Linked DNA regions of Alligator mississippiensis. The main gene of each other region encodes a partner of the protein of the gene in region 2 in a complex. Links are inferred from orthologs where the notes say so. Each region holds a gene or a part of one and is shown on either strand. Other genes may lie near its edges.

Evidence for each region.
Region 1: the proteins of MCHR2 (region 2) and PMCH are in contact, whole or in part, in a cryo-EM structure (PDB 8WST), measured with the Homo sapiens proteins. The link is inferred for Alligator mississippiensis from reciprocal best matches to the Homo sapiens genes MCHR2 and PMCH. Residues at the interface, in NP_001035269.1 of Homo sapiens: His82, Gln92, Trp93, Gly96, Gly97, Thr110, Asp113, Gln117, Ile175, Phe177, Val181, Ser183, Cys184, Ala185, Phe186, Leu188, Thr189, Ser190, Pro191, Val194, Tyr197, Thr198, Tyr267, Gln271, Asn274, Met277, Glu278, Gln279, Pro280, Phe284; in NP_002665.2 of Homo sapiens: Leu151, Arg152, Cys153, Met154, Leu155, Gly156, Arg157, Val158, Tyr159, Arg160, Pro161, Cys162, Trp163.

Annotation. Positions count from the first base shown.
Region 1 is NC_081827.1:107,277,350-107,283,686, forward strand, and holds PMCH (pro-MCH), read left to right. Parts: upstream 1-4,027; 5' UTR 4,028-4,152; coding exon 4,153-4,398; intron 4,399-4,952; coding exon 4,953-5,157; intron 5,158-5,430; coding exon 5,431-5,480; 3' UTR 5,481-5,604; downstream 5,605-6,337. Other genes in the region: PARPBP (PCNA-interacting partner), read right to left, coding at 5,862-6,196. UniProt on the Homo sapiens protein: MCH may act as a neurotransmitter or neuromodulator in a broad array of neuronal functions directed toward the regulation of goal-directed behavior, such as food intake, and general arousal. May also have a role in spermatocyte differentiation.
Region 2 is NC_081824.1:85,931,170-85,938,730, forward strand, and holds the start of MCHR2 (melanin-concentrating hormone receptor 2), read right to left. Parts: upstream 3,187-7,561; coding exon 3,145-3,186; intron 3,004-3,144; coding exon 2,916-3,003; intron 1,755-2,915; coding exon 1,703-1,754; intron 366-1,702; coding exon 183-365; intron 1-182. UniProt on the Homo sapiens protein: Receptor for melanin-concentrating hormone, coupled to G proteins that activate phosphoinositide hydrolysis.

The DNA.
Region 1 (6,337 bases), on a different chromosome or scaffold from region 2:
TGCTATCTAATTTTATATACATATGTAGCAACAGAACTCTTTAGCAATACTGTTTGGAAATTCTAATCGGCGAGGGCCAATTTCGGGGGGGGGGGGGGGGGGGCACATGCCCCTGCTACATGTCATCTATGTCCTCAACCAGCCAGAAGTCACAGTTGGTTTTGTCCTGATTAGGCCTGATTTTGGGGCTGTCCTTGACTGGCAACACACTGATACAGGAAATGCCAGTAATGCCGCATAGCAATCTAAGAAGTGCAAAGCCACATGGGCACCATTCTGCAGTCTCCACCTCACTCTGTATTAGCAACAATGTAGAACAGAGGTCGGCAGCCTTTTGCTGGCATGGGCCAGAGTTTACAAACCAGCTAGTCATTACAGGCTAAAAGTCTGTGCCTCACCCTCTCCAAGTGGCTGGCTGCTAGATTCCCAGCCCTTTTGCAGTAAGGGGAAGCTCAGACACTTCTGCAGTGAAGAGTACTAGAGAGTGAAGGGGTGCAGTAGTACCGGCAAAGGTAATGCATAGTTAACCTTCCACTTAGCTGCTGGAGTGGAGAGATTTTGGCTTTATGCCCACTTTATGGAAGTGGGAGACTCTTCCCTAGTTTGCTCCTGCAGCCATATGGCTTGAGGGCAAGTGGAACTCGGGGGCATCCAAACCCCAAAACTCTGGGACTGGGCCTGCATGTAGGATGCCCGCCAAAGGATTTGGGAACATCTGAATCCCCAGATGAGGGTGGAGGATATCTGCTGGTAGTACAGCCACTTATGGTTCTGGACTGACTCATGGATTTGGAATTGATTTGGCTGATTTGTCTTGGACCACGGAAAAATTTTTTAAAAATTAAATAAGGGGGCGAGGGGTGATATTGAACAGTTAGCCAAGGAGGCAGCAGCAGTCTCATTTTAGACTGTCTGGATCTGAAAGAAAACAAGCATTCACTGAATTGGCAACACAACCATGGTTCTGAGATAACAGAGGGCCCCATATCACAATGCTAAGTGAAGTTATCTAAATAATATCACAGAAGGGAGTAAAGTGCCCCTTCCAATATAGAGATAAGTATTTTTTTTCGTTTTCTTCAGGATGCTCAAACACAAGATGGTTTCCCTGCCCTAATCATGCAAGGACTGTAGACCCGGAATTTTATAAACTTGCTTCAGAGCTATTTTTGTTTTGACTCAAAATATTATTACAAAACAAACAGAAAACAGAAAAAGAAAATTTAAGTGTTTAAAATAAGCTTTCTTGCACCTCTGCTTACATTTCCTAAATTTGATCAGAACAAAAAGTTGAAAACCAAATGATGGATTGAAAATCTTAAAAGAAAAAAAAAATTTACCCATGAGACTGAGCAAATAGACAATAGTGCAACTGTGGCAGTACAGAATGAAAAACTCACCTAAAAAAAACCCAACCCAACAAATTTTCTATACCAAGACGGTTATTTCACACCAAGTTACACTATGTGGTAGCTACCCTGATATTCGTATCCAAGTTACTTAGCTATTACATATTAATTAAGTCTACATGTGACTGCAATATAGACAGACAGAGAGATTTAGACTTTGTCTGGAAGTCTTTCAGACCGATTCAAACTTTGAGTCCTTCACAAGCTCCAGTCTCCAGCCCAAATACAAATTTATCCTTATTTTGAAGGCCTTTCATAAGTTACTTTCTCCCATTTTATCCAGCCTTTAAGTCCTCATTATCATGGTCGCTTTTGACTGAAAATGCAACGGCTGTCTCCATTGTCTGCTTGCCTGCTTCTTTCATAAGTACTTTGGTATCTATTTTCATACTGCAGCTTAACCACACAAAACCTACCTCCAGTTTGCAAAGCCACTTCAGAAGTCTTGCAAGACAAATTCCCACCATTGCAAACATGCTAAACTGCCTAGCAGTGCCTAGGCAAGCGACCTATTCATTATCATCTTGTCCTTTTAAACCAGTGATCCTCTACCAAGGTTCCATCAGATCCTTTGAACGATACTGCAACATGTGAGGAGATAAGCAGATGAATTAAACACCAAGCACAGGGTCAGGCTTGTCTCTTGCCTGGATGATTCCCCACCCTCACTGCCCAGCCTTTCTGCAAGGAAGTAAGCCCTGTAATATATAAATTAGTTTTGGAAACTGGGTGCCACTCAATTAAAAAAAGTTACAGAGGTGTGTCTTAAGTCCAATGAAGACTGCCTCAAATACAGTGAGTGGTGTCTCAATTTCAAAAAAAGGTCACAAACCACTGATTTAAACAAAGCAGCATAACACCTCATTTTATCCTGAGTAAAGTATGTAAACTTGTGTTCCTGATAATCAGCTCTTATCTTACCCAGGTCCTACTTCATTCTGTTCTACATTCACTTGTCAGACCTTGTCTTTATTTTGATTGTAAACTTCTGGGGGCAGGATCTCTCATCTTAAGCGTATACAGCACTTACAAAATGGGAACCAGCCCACCAAAAATGAGAACCAGCGGACCTCTTGACACCACTAAACAACCACTAAGAAAGATTAATAGTAATGAAAGCAAAACACAAGAGCTGATATTTTCTAAAGTACCTTTACATGTAAGTAAATGAACTGGCACTTAATCTCAGGCTCTTACGTGGAAAAAAATCATTTTTCAGAAGTGTAATTTAAGTGGACGTAAGGAAAATCTGCATACTGGCGTTGTTAAGCCCACTATGTGCACAGAGTGGTTAAAACAGAACACCTAACACAATGTAAATTATATCTAAACAGATATGAACAAGTCCAGATGTCTCCTTGGTACCAACCAACCCAGTGCTGGAAAGGCTGCCAATGGATTATCTCAGATGCTACCTACTCATAAGTAAAAAAAAAATATATATAGTGCAAGAAAGAACTGTAGCTGTTTGATGCAAAAGTAACTTTTACCTAAAGTATGAGGATGCATAAAAAGGTACATAAAAAGAAAATTAGAAAAGATGAAAAGGACAGTTCTCACTCTGTGCTTAGTTGGCTGCTTGGGCCAGGTTCCTGACAGTCTAGGAAGGTTCTCCTACTAGTTGGACAAACTCACACTCTCTCTGGAATGAGAATAAATGTGGGAGCCAGAACCAGTGCAAAGATAAACAGCCATACTATACAGCTGGCTCTGATGTCACTTTTTTATTTTGTTTTATAAAAAGGGATATGCTAAGATTGGGGAGGTTCCATGCACTTTTCCCACAGGGGACACCACACTGCTCCAGTAGGATAATATGGAAAAATCCCTAAAAATAATAACAACAACAAATCCTCCTCTACAGCATTATCCTGTTTCTGAACAAAATACTTTATTATAGGGTTCTACCTTTTGAAAAAAATCAATTCTATTTGAAAATAGAGTAAATTTTAAGTAAAACTTGAATTTCTTTGTTTAGAGGAAGAGAGAGAGGGCAAGAATTTTTGATACATCCAAAATGACAGAACACCTAAATATATGATGCTAGATTTTGGGATACTGTTCTCCTTTCAGCTTCAAAGTCTAACAAGTGTAACAAAGGCATCAGTGAGGATTTCTAACTGATAACTTTATATAAAGGTATCATATATACAGGACATAAAAAATTCATTAAAGGTTTCAGCTTTACCTCTGTTAAGCCAAAGATAATGTAAAGTCATTGCCAATTGTTAACATTTTCAATTACATCGTTTAAAAGTGATTTTAAAAAGTCAGTTCTACTTTAAAATATAATATTACTAATCTTTAAAACAAAATTACTCTATGGATGGCATTTCTCATGTGTAAATTAGTTCTTTTCTAAAACTACTTAAGTGGAAATTAAGGCCTGCTTTAATCAGGACCATAAATTGAGATTATATCCTGTGACTTTGTTAAATTGATCCATTAAAAGAAACTACTAAGCTGTACTGCCCTAAAAGTCTACAAAGAAACTAATTATCCATGTTAAAAAAAGAAAATATACTTAAGTAGCATATGGCATTACAAGTACTATACAAAAGGTTATCCTCTTTATTATGAGTCACTCATAAAGGATGAACTCATAAGCCACTGAAGTGGTTTCTATTCACTCTGTGAAATATATAAGGATAGGCATAGCTGGAGACCATGTTAATTTGCAAGGGAAACCCGTCTTAAATCTCTGAAGCCATTTAACTTCTATGCCAACTTTAAGCAACTAAGAATGTGTTTCTCATCCTACATGTTAATACTAACTTTCTCTCTTCTTTCCCAAGGTTTTCTATTTTCAGTTTCAAAGTCTCTGCAGAACGTAGAAGATGACGACATGCTACTAAACACCTTCACTCTAGGAAAATCTCTGCGGAATGGAGATAAAACAGAGAAGACAGGGGGTACACCTCTTGAGCACTATAAGATGGAAGATGCTAGTTTTCAGGATGAAGAGGAAGACAGAAACCCAAAGTTCTTTGTGAGTTTCCGTTTCTTAATCAACTCCAAAATGTAAATAAAGACTCATTTTAAGAGATAAATACTTTTCACTTATAAAGGATGCTTTGGCAGATAATTGCAATCACTCATTTCTGCAATTTAGTGTATGTTCATAGGCTAATTTTTAATTGCATGCATCTAATATTAGGCATATTAATCTGTATTTGGGTAACAAAAGGTATCTTATTCTAAAAAGATATGTAGGTGATCAGGACTATGTGTATGTCGGGGGGTCGAATTCAGCTTACTTTATGTAGTTCTCTTTTTCTTTCTTTTTTATTTTTTAATAATGCATATTCTGGTCTCAGCCAGTTGGTATATGAAGGAGGTTTACAACCATAATAAACAATTAGGTTGATTACACATATTCTATTAACTTGCTTTTTAAAATACAACAGTATTCAATTAACATCTATTGTATGATGATGTTTACTTTTTAAAGATCATCTTCAGTTGCACTACTTACTTTCTTGATGAAGTCTAAGCACAATGGTAACAGTCTTTAAAATTTTAATCAGTCCTTTTAAAATCCAGAATATAGGTTCCAAACATAATTTCATAAGCCACAGTCTGCCGCTGAACCTGGCTATAAAACAGCTACCTTATCTTGCCCTGAAGGGATCAGTAGCTTTTCCAGCTGACACCGAAATAAAGAATACTAAATCAATACAGGAAAGAAGAGAGGTTGGTGATGAAGAAAATTCTGCTAAGTTTCCTATAGGAAGGAGAGATTTTGACAGTAAGTATACTTGCACTTTAACTTTGACGTAATGCAGTATATATGTTTAGTTGAATAAGATTATACTTGCAAATGTTTGAAAAAGGAAATTTGGAAATTATGTGCTAGTGTTTATCAATGTACAATGTGTTAATAGATATAATCAAATTAAATATTTAGTTGGACTATTTCAGGTATATTTATTTGTTAAAAATTAACAATCTTGCTAGATGTCACTATAATATATCCCAATTTTTACAATTTAAACTTTTGGAGGTTTTTTTTCTTTTTCAGTACTCAGGTGTATGTTGGGAAGAGTCTATCGACCTTGTTGGCAAGTCTGAAAATTGCTGGCCAGCCTCACTTTCCTTGAAGGAGATTAAATTATTTGGTTGCCAGTTTAATGAAACGTGAAGTTATTGTGTTTTGCTATTGTTATACACTTAAATCTAGGTACTAGTCTCTGTATTTCAAGGTGAGGGAAACATTTTCAATGATCATCAAGTAACCTAGCTGTAAAAATGATGTGGTATCATTATTAAAACAGAAAATTCTGCATATTCAGATTTGTAGATATATTTGTTTAATAGTATATGTATGCTATTCACATTACCATACACAATGAAGTCAAGGTATTTGTGCATCTGTTGTCTTGTTCTTGCAAAACTTACCATGTTTATTATGTAATAGTAAAACAATTATATGTGTCAAAATAAAAATAAGATTCATGATCTAAAAAAATGAGTTAATTTTGCCTGACCAGAAATCAATTTAGTCTTGGCTGTAGTTTTGTTGCTTTTTCCTGCTCTATCCAATTTGCTGTCCAATTTCTTCTGAGGGTTGTTTGAAGTCTTAGGTCTCTTAATATTTGTATCCTGAGATGGTTCATTATCATTATTACAGATGACTTCTTTATTCAGATCCACTTGTTTCCTCTTTGTGCTCTTGTTTCTTAGCTGACAGCTCAGCTTTGCATCTTCTTTTTTACTTTTACTTCCATTCTGGTGAATATTTTCAGATTTAGTTCCAAATGCTTGTCTTTCAAAATCTGAATTCATACCTTCAGCCAGGTAGGAGAATAAACATATTTAAGGAAAGGAAAAAGTTAATTTTGATAGTCTTGTGATTAAAATGACATAAGCCATGAATGTTTAATAATATATAAATAAACATATAAAAAAACAGTCTAACTATCCACTAA
Region 2 (7,561 bases):
GCTCAGCCCCAGTGTGGGCATGAATACAGGCAAAGGCCTGCAGCTCTTAGAGCCAGATCCAGTGGCTCTCAGTGGATCCAGATCTAGCCCACTAAGTGTATGTTCCTGACCCCTGCCTTAAATTATTCATATATTTTTGCAATAGTTAACCACTGTTGCATAACGTATGCTATATTCCATACCTTATTATAGTGATCACAATGAGGATATTTCCAATGAAACCAGTAGAACAGATAATCCCAATTAGAGAAGGAAGGATAATTGTTTCTGCTGCACTGATCACCTGATAGTAATGACCTCCACTCCAAGATTTGTTAAACAAGTCAGGTGTACTATTCCAACAGGCAGCCTGAATTTCATTCGTTCTTCAGAGACTTTGGGTCTTTAAGTCTGCAACAGCAACAGAAAATAAATTATTCATTGAATCTTAAAATTTGAATATGATTAGTCAAGCACATTATCTTGGCATACATTATTTTTAATAATAATCTGAATCTTCTGAATGTAATCTTCTAACTGATTGTGTATTTTCATTAATGGACCCATAAGAGTTGGATCATATTATTTTGAAAAATAAATACAGATTCATACTGTGTAAGTAGAGCCTTGACTTCAGCATGGATTCACTTAACTTTTGATCACCTGCCCTAGGGCAGTGATTCAAAATGGCCTAGAGAGGCACCTGGGATACCCAGGTAGTCAATGGAGAGACTTTGGAGACATGCATGGATGGAGACAGATGCTGCCTTTGTGCCTTTGTGCAAATTTTTACAGCAGCACAAATGCCTAGCAAACAGATATCTATGCCTTTTGTCACATCACAGATGCCCAAAATTGTGGCTGCAACAAAAGGTAGCATACATTTGTTCTGTTTTATTGTGGCAGATGTCTGTCTGCTTTATGGCAGAAGAGTGGAAGTGCTGAGCTACTCCCACTTTCAAACCACCACAGGCAGATGTGGGGCTCCAGGGCCCTGATCCTGCATGCCCCAAGAATTCCCATTTCATTAATAAAATTATTGAATAGTACTAACCCAAGACATATTCCCATGCTTGGGGAACACAGGATTGGACCCTGGAAGCCAGGGTAGTGTCTGTCTGGGTTCTCTGTTTGCAGATGTGTGCTTCTGAAATCCAACAAAAGGAGATTTCTCAGGTGTAAGTATTGCCCAGACATATCCCAGCTTGGGGCACACTTCTGCATATGGGGAAACCTGTCTGCAATACACATGCCTAGGGAATAATCTCTGTGAGTGGCAGAGGCCCAGCTATGCAGGCCATTTATGCATTATCCCATGAAGCAGATCAGCTGTGCCAGGACACATCCCAGCACAGCTGATCCACTTCATTTGGCAATGCCTGTTTATAGCTTATAAGACACTGGGGTATAAGTGCCTCCATGTTACATACAGAGAATGGGTAGTGTAAAGTACCTCTAAAGTGCAATTCAGAAGCTTGGAAGAATGTAGAAATAGCTAGCTAGGACTGCTAATGTACAGGAGTATGTCTGAATTCCCACCCTCTCAGGAGCTTATATACCTGACTCTTGCTATCTGCATTTCCATTTACTTGCAATTCACAATGCATCAATCCACTTTTTGCACTTCTGGGTAAGTTTCTGGAGGTAGGCGATTCATCCTTATGTAGCCTGATAGTTCAAATGCAAGATCTACCAGAATGAGTTAACCAAGGGCACACACTACTGTTCAAGTTGAAGCTGAGCCAGTGGGGAGCCAAAATGTAAGAGGTATGGTTCTAGAATGAGGAAAACAAGCCAGCTTATTAGGGTAGGCCCTTGGAAAGGAGTCCCCCATTCAAGCTGCCAGGCTTAGTTACATTTTTTTAACCAATCACTGTCCAATATAAAATGTACAAACGGTACAGTAAGCAAGAGGAAATCTGTTAGCTTGGACAATTCTCAGGGAGGGAAAAAGATCCTTGGTCCTGGCCCCTGCTCTGCAGGCACAATGAAACTATCTACAGAAAGGGTAACACTGCTCTGTGTTGGAGACAGAGCATGTTTGATGTCTGGCCTGATGCTAGAATGAAGTCCTCCAGCATGAATGACTTGTGTCCCCCAGTGGCTGGGGGGGCACAGCGGTGGCAGGAGTGCAGTGGTGGCAGCAAGAGCAGTGGGAGCACAGTGGTGGTAAGCAGGGGAGCTCCCACTGCCAGTCCTGTCAGTGGTGGGGTGGGGGTGGTGAGCACTGACCAAGAGTTGATGACCACCCACAGCTGCTGCTGGAAGTGTTGGTGACACCTTTTTGTAGGGGGTGCACCGCCATGCGCAGGGGGTGAACCCCCTACAAAACTATTGTCTTAATTGAGGCCAAAAAGTTTGATTTTCAAGTATCCCACTAGGCAGAGACTCATTGAAAAATGCAACCCTAACTCTCCAAAGTCAGTAATAAGAAATCATTTTAAGTATTGTAGAACAGTTAAAGTCCACACTTGTGCTGTATGACTAGAGGCAAGAAGTTTCTAGAGGGTTTGAACTCTCAACCTTGATGAAGTCATGACCTACTTTTAAGGTCTGGGCATGCGCAGTGTATAATGGTAATGCAACTGTTTATCAATGTTGATATGTTAATTATGATAATGTTGCTTGTATTGGTTTGAAATAGTTTGAATTGATTGGTCCTTTTAAGTATTGCCCAGGTTTGAATTTGATTGGGTATTGTGCAAAGGGCGATGATTGGACCATTGGGTGAGTGACAGGTGGTGTGATTAGAAGACCATAAATCCTATCCAGAGCAGCTAGCAGGAGCTCTGTGTGCTCTGTGCACTCAGGTTTGGGCTGCACCTTGCTCTCACTCTGACTGGACAGTCCTGACTCCAGGCTCTTGGGGTGTGGGAATTTGTCAAGTTCAGGTTCCTTGCTGTGACCTGGTTGGGACTGAGCTCGCTGAGGCTTACCTGTCTCGTGCTCATTCCTTTGGGCTTCGGCTGAGGAAGCTGGAATTGGGTAAAGTATCACCCTTTCCGTATTGGAGGTGCCGAGTACCTAAGCAGGGAAAAGCTAGAAATCCTCAGGGACTGTCAGAGGGTTTCTCCTGCTGAGAAGGCCTAGGGTGTTCTTGCTGCCATCTGTGGTTTCTGGGGTGTCTGTGAAGTTGCACAGCAGTTAACTATTGTTTTATCTTACCGTGTTTTCCTTGTACTGTCCTTTTAAGGACAAAGCCCTCATGTTTGGACTGCAGGGTTCAGTTGCTTTGTGGCAGTTTTGCAGCACTGGGACTCCACGTTCTTTGCCATGTGGAGCCAGAGGCATTCTTGGTTCCTCTCCCTCCCCAGATGTGAGGTACAAAAACTATATTTGATTTAAAATGTTGGTGTTGTTGAAACTCAAGGTTCTGAGATCATTGCAACTGTAGTAATAAATAGAGAGAAGTGCAAAATGGAAGTGGACTTGGGTTCAGGAGTATCTCTCATACATTAAAACACATTCTTCCAGTTGTTTCGGCACCCTGTCCCCAAGTTATTGAAACCTGAGTGTCGCCTGTGTGACTACAATGGACAGTGTGGAAACTTTGGGTAGCTGCAGTGTAGATGTCCAGTATGGATCTGTTAGACAGCATCTACCCTTCATTGTCACTAAGGATTCCCGCAAAAGTCTTCTGGGGAGAAATTGGTTCTCACCATTGGGAATCAGTGTTCAAAGCGTACACAGTCTCTGCACAGAAAGTCTGGAAAGGCTTGCAAGGGAGTTTCCCCACGTATTGTCTGAGGAATTAGGAATTTACTCTGGTCCACCTGTGATGTTCCAAATGGATCTTGTGATAGCCCTGATCTTAATGAAAGCTTGGAATGTACCTTTCGCACTGCAGCTGAAAATTGATGCAGAATTAGATTGGCCTATCGTGCAAGGCCACACCAATTGTTCCTGTTTTAAAGCCTAACATCAGTGTTTACATCTGTGGGGATTACAAGCGCACTGTTAATAAAGCACTTAAGCAGGATCTGCACCCAGTGCCTGCCATTAACCAGTTACTGTCTGTTCTTGCAGGAGGGAAAGTTTTTGCCAAACTTGACCTTGCTCAAGCCTATCAGCAATTGATAGTGGATGACAAGGATGCTAAGGCCCAAACAATAATTACACGCTGGGGAGCGTTCCGTGTCAAGCGCCTCCAATTTGCAACTTCTGTGGCACCAGGTATTTTCCAGCGATTTATGGAAAAAATGCTAGCAGGAATTCCCAGGGTTGTTCCACACTTTGATGATGCGTTAATCATGGGGCTGTCTAGAGAGAAACTCACTAAGAGACTCAGAGGAGTTTTACAGAGATTCGATAAAGCAGGTATCAGAGTAAAAAGAGAGATGTCAACTTGGACTTTCCAATATCAACTTTCCGGGATATCAAATGGATGCTTCTGGCATTCACCCAGTTGAAGGCAAGGTAAAAGCAATACATGATGCCCCTACCTGACACCAAAATGCAGACAGGATCTTCAAGCATTCTTAGGACTTCTCAATTTTTATCACATCTTCTTAAGAGACAATCCCACCATAGCAGAGCATCTTCATCGCTTATGGGATAAAGGAGCTCAGTGGAAGAGAACTTGCCAGCACAATGAAGCCTTCTAGCACATCAAGAAATTACTGATATCAGACTCTGTCCTTGTTCACTAGGATGAGCAGAAGCCACTGTCCATTACTTGTGATGCCTTGCTGTTTGGTTTTGGCGCTGTCCTCAGTCACACATTGCTTGATGGCACAGACACACCTGTTTCTTTTTACTCTAGAACAGTGACTTCAACCAAGAGGAACTATGCACAGATTGATAAAGAAGCATTGGCAATCATTGAAGGAGTTAAAAATTTCACATTTACATTTATGGCCTCAAATTTGAAATCCGAACAGACCACAAACCCCTTCTTGGAATTTTTACTATGGACAAACCAACTTCTCCTATTTTGTCTGCCTGCATACAATGCTGGAGCACCATGCTAAATGCATATGGCTATACACTCATGTACAAATCTGGGAAAACGATTGCAAATGCTGATGCATTGAGCCACCTACCACTACAAATACCTGATTGTACTACTCCTCCACCAACGGAAGTCCTCATGCTGGAATCCATGCCAGAAGCCCCTCATCAGGTTGCTCAGATAGCAAGGATGACTGCAAAAGACCCTATCCTTGCCTTTGTTCTCAACTGGATGTGGAGGGGCTGGCCTGCAGACAAATTGACTGAGGAATTCAGGCCATTTTCATAACATCAGCATGAGCTGTCTGCCCACAAGGGTTGCCTCTTGTGGGAAAATCATGTCGTAATTGCAGAAGCAGGACACCAAATCATACTGACAACATTGCATGCAGCACACCCAGGCATTGTGAGGATGAAAGCAGTGGCTAGAAGTTATGAATGGTGGCCAGGTATGGACAATGACATAGAACGGGTTGTGAGGGAGTGCAGCACTTGTCAAGCAACCCATCATAATCCACCGAAGGCACCAGTATTCCCTTGGGAATTGACAAAGGAACACTGGTCATGCATCCACATTGATTTTTCTGGCCCTTTTCAAGGTAAGAACTTTTTAATTGTTGTTGACTAGTACTCAAAATGGCTTGAAGTTATTACTGTCTCAACTCTTACATCAACTGCCACTATAACAGCTCTCTGTCAGCTGTTTGCAACCCATGGGGTGTCTGACACTATCATTTCTGATAATGGCAGTGCATTCACCTCATCAGGGTTCCAAGATTTTGCCAGCCACAACCTCATTCAAACTGTTGCCATTGCACCTCTCAGGCCACAGGCTGATGGGAAGCTGAGCAAATGGTGCAGACCACACAAGATGCATTGAAAAGGATCATTGTAGGAGACTGGCCTACCAGATTGGCCAGATTTTTGTTTGCTCAACATGTAATTCCTTGCCCTACAACAGGGTCCAGCCCATCAGAGCTTCTTATGGGCCATCGTCTCAAGACATGCCTTAACCGTGTTAACCCAGACCTTGTGAGAGACATGCAGTTTCAGAAAGAAAAGGAGTTGGACTCCACATTGGCATCTGGTACCTTACGTTTTTTCATTCCACAAGAGACTGTGTTTGCTCGGAACTATGGGACAGGCCCACAGTGGTTTCAATCTAAAATTGTAAGCGCCACAGGACCCATATCATATATAGTCCAGACTGATGATGGATAAGTTTGGAGATGTCATGTGGACCATCTACGTGGGCATTCTCCTACTGATAACCCTTCACCTGAGCAATTCCCAAGCACCAATCCACCACTGATAGACATGGATTCACTGGGGAAGTGCCTACCTGTTTCCACCAGTGCAAACCCTTTGCCATCATCACCAGAAGAAAGCATCACTGTTGAGTCTCCAGATAGGCTGACAGGGCTATCATCTGCTGAACCCCTCCCTGAGTCCGGTTCTATGGGAAGACCACAGCGGAAGTGGAGTCCTCTCAAATGGTTGGCCGACTATTCTGTCTAGGGGGAAGGGGTGTTGTATCTTATTGTGTTTTCCTTGTACTGTCCCTTTAAGACCAAAGCCCTCATGTTTGGCACTGCAGGGTTCGGTTGCTTTGTGGCAGTTTTGAAGCACTGGCACTCCATGTTCTCTGCCATGAAGAGTCAAAGGCAATCTTTGTTCCTCTCCCTCCGCAAGACTGGACTGGGTTAAGTCAGAGGCAGAGCAGGCATAAGATCAGCATACATCTACTGATGCAACTGTTAAGATCCACCCTGGATATGATTCTAGAGAGTTATAATAATAAATGACTGTTAGTTCAACACAGGAGTGTCCAGAGTATTGTTGCTGAACTCACAACATATCAACTGTGTAGTGACCGAAGCTCATTGTAATGTGTAGTTGATTAGTTGTGTGGGACACTGAGTTTGGGATATGCATTGGGTTATTGTTCCATTGGGTGTCTTTTATTGTGTTGTGGCTCAGGTATTATGGAAATATTGCATCGGATAGTTGTTGCATGGATTTTGTTGTGTAATACAGCTTATATTGCTCAACCTACATATGTTATATTGTGTAGCTACTGTTCCTAACTCTGAGTGGGGTCAGGCAGTAAATCAATGCTCAGGGAAATTAACTTAAATTAATGCCCCGAACCTGACTACCTGTGGGTCATAGAGGATTAATGACCCTCTGGATTAATTAGTTAATTGGCATCCCCACGGGTGGTCCTTCAGTATCCAGTAGCATATTTATAACCAAGTTGATGTTTTTGTACAGGATGATAAGTAACCATCTTTTCTAAAAATTAGTTGAGATTTGTCTAAAAGTGTTCGTATAGGCATATAAGAGCTGTTGATATGTACTATTTTAGTCATACAGGCCTGAATACTATCAGAAAGTATATCATTATTGAATATCTATATCTATATCTATATCTATGTATAGATATATATAATTAACTCCAGAAAAAAGGACTATTTCACTTTAACATGAAACAAGATTAAGTGTCATGCTATTTTGAGAGCATTGAGCAAAAAATGTTGACTGGATGTGATTAATAGATGGCTTGTAGTGTCTATTGTGATCTGCAGCCCGATGCCAACAGCTGGTGCCAAAAAATGATGTATTGCAAAAT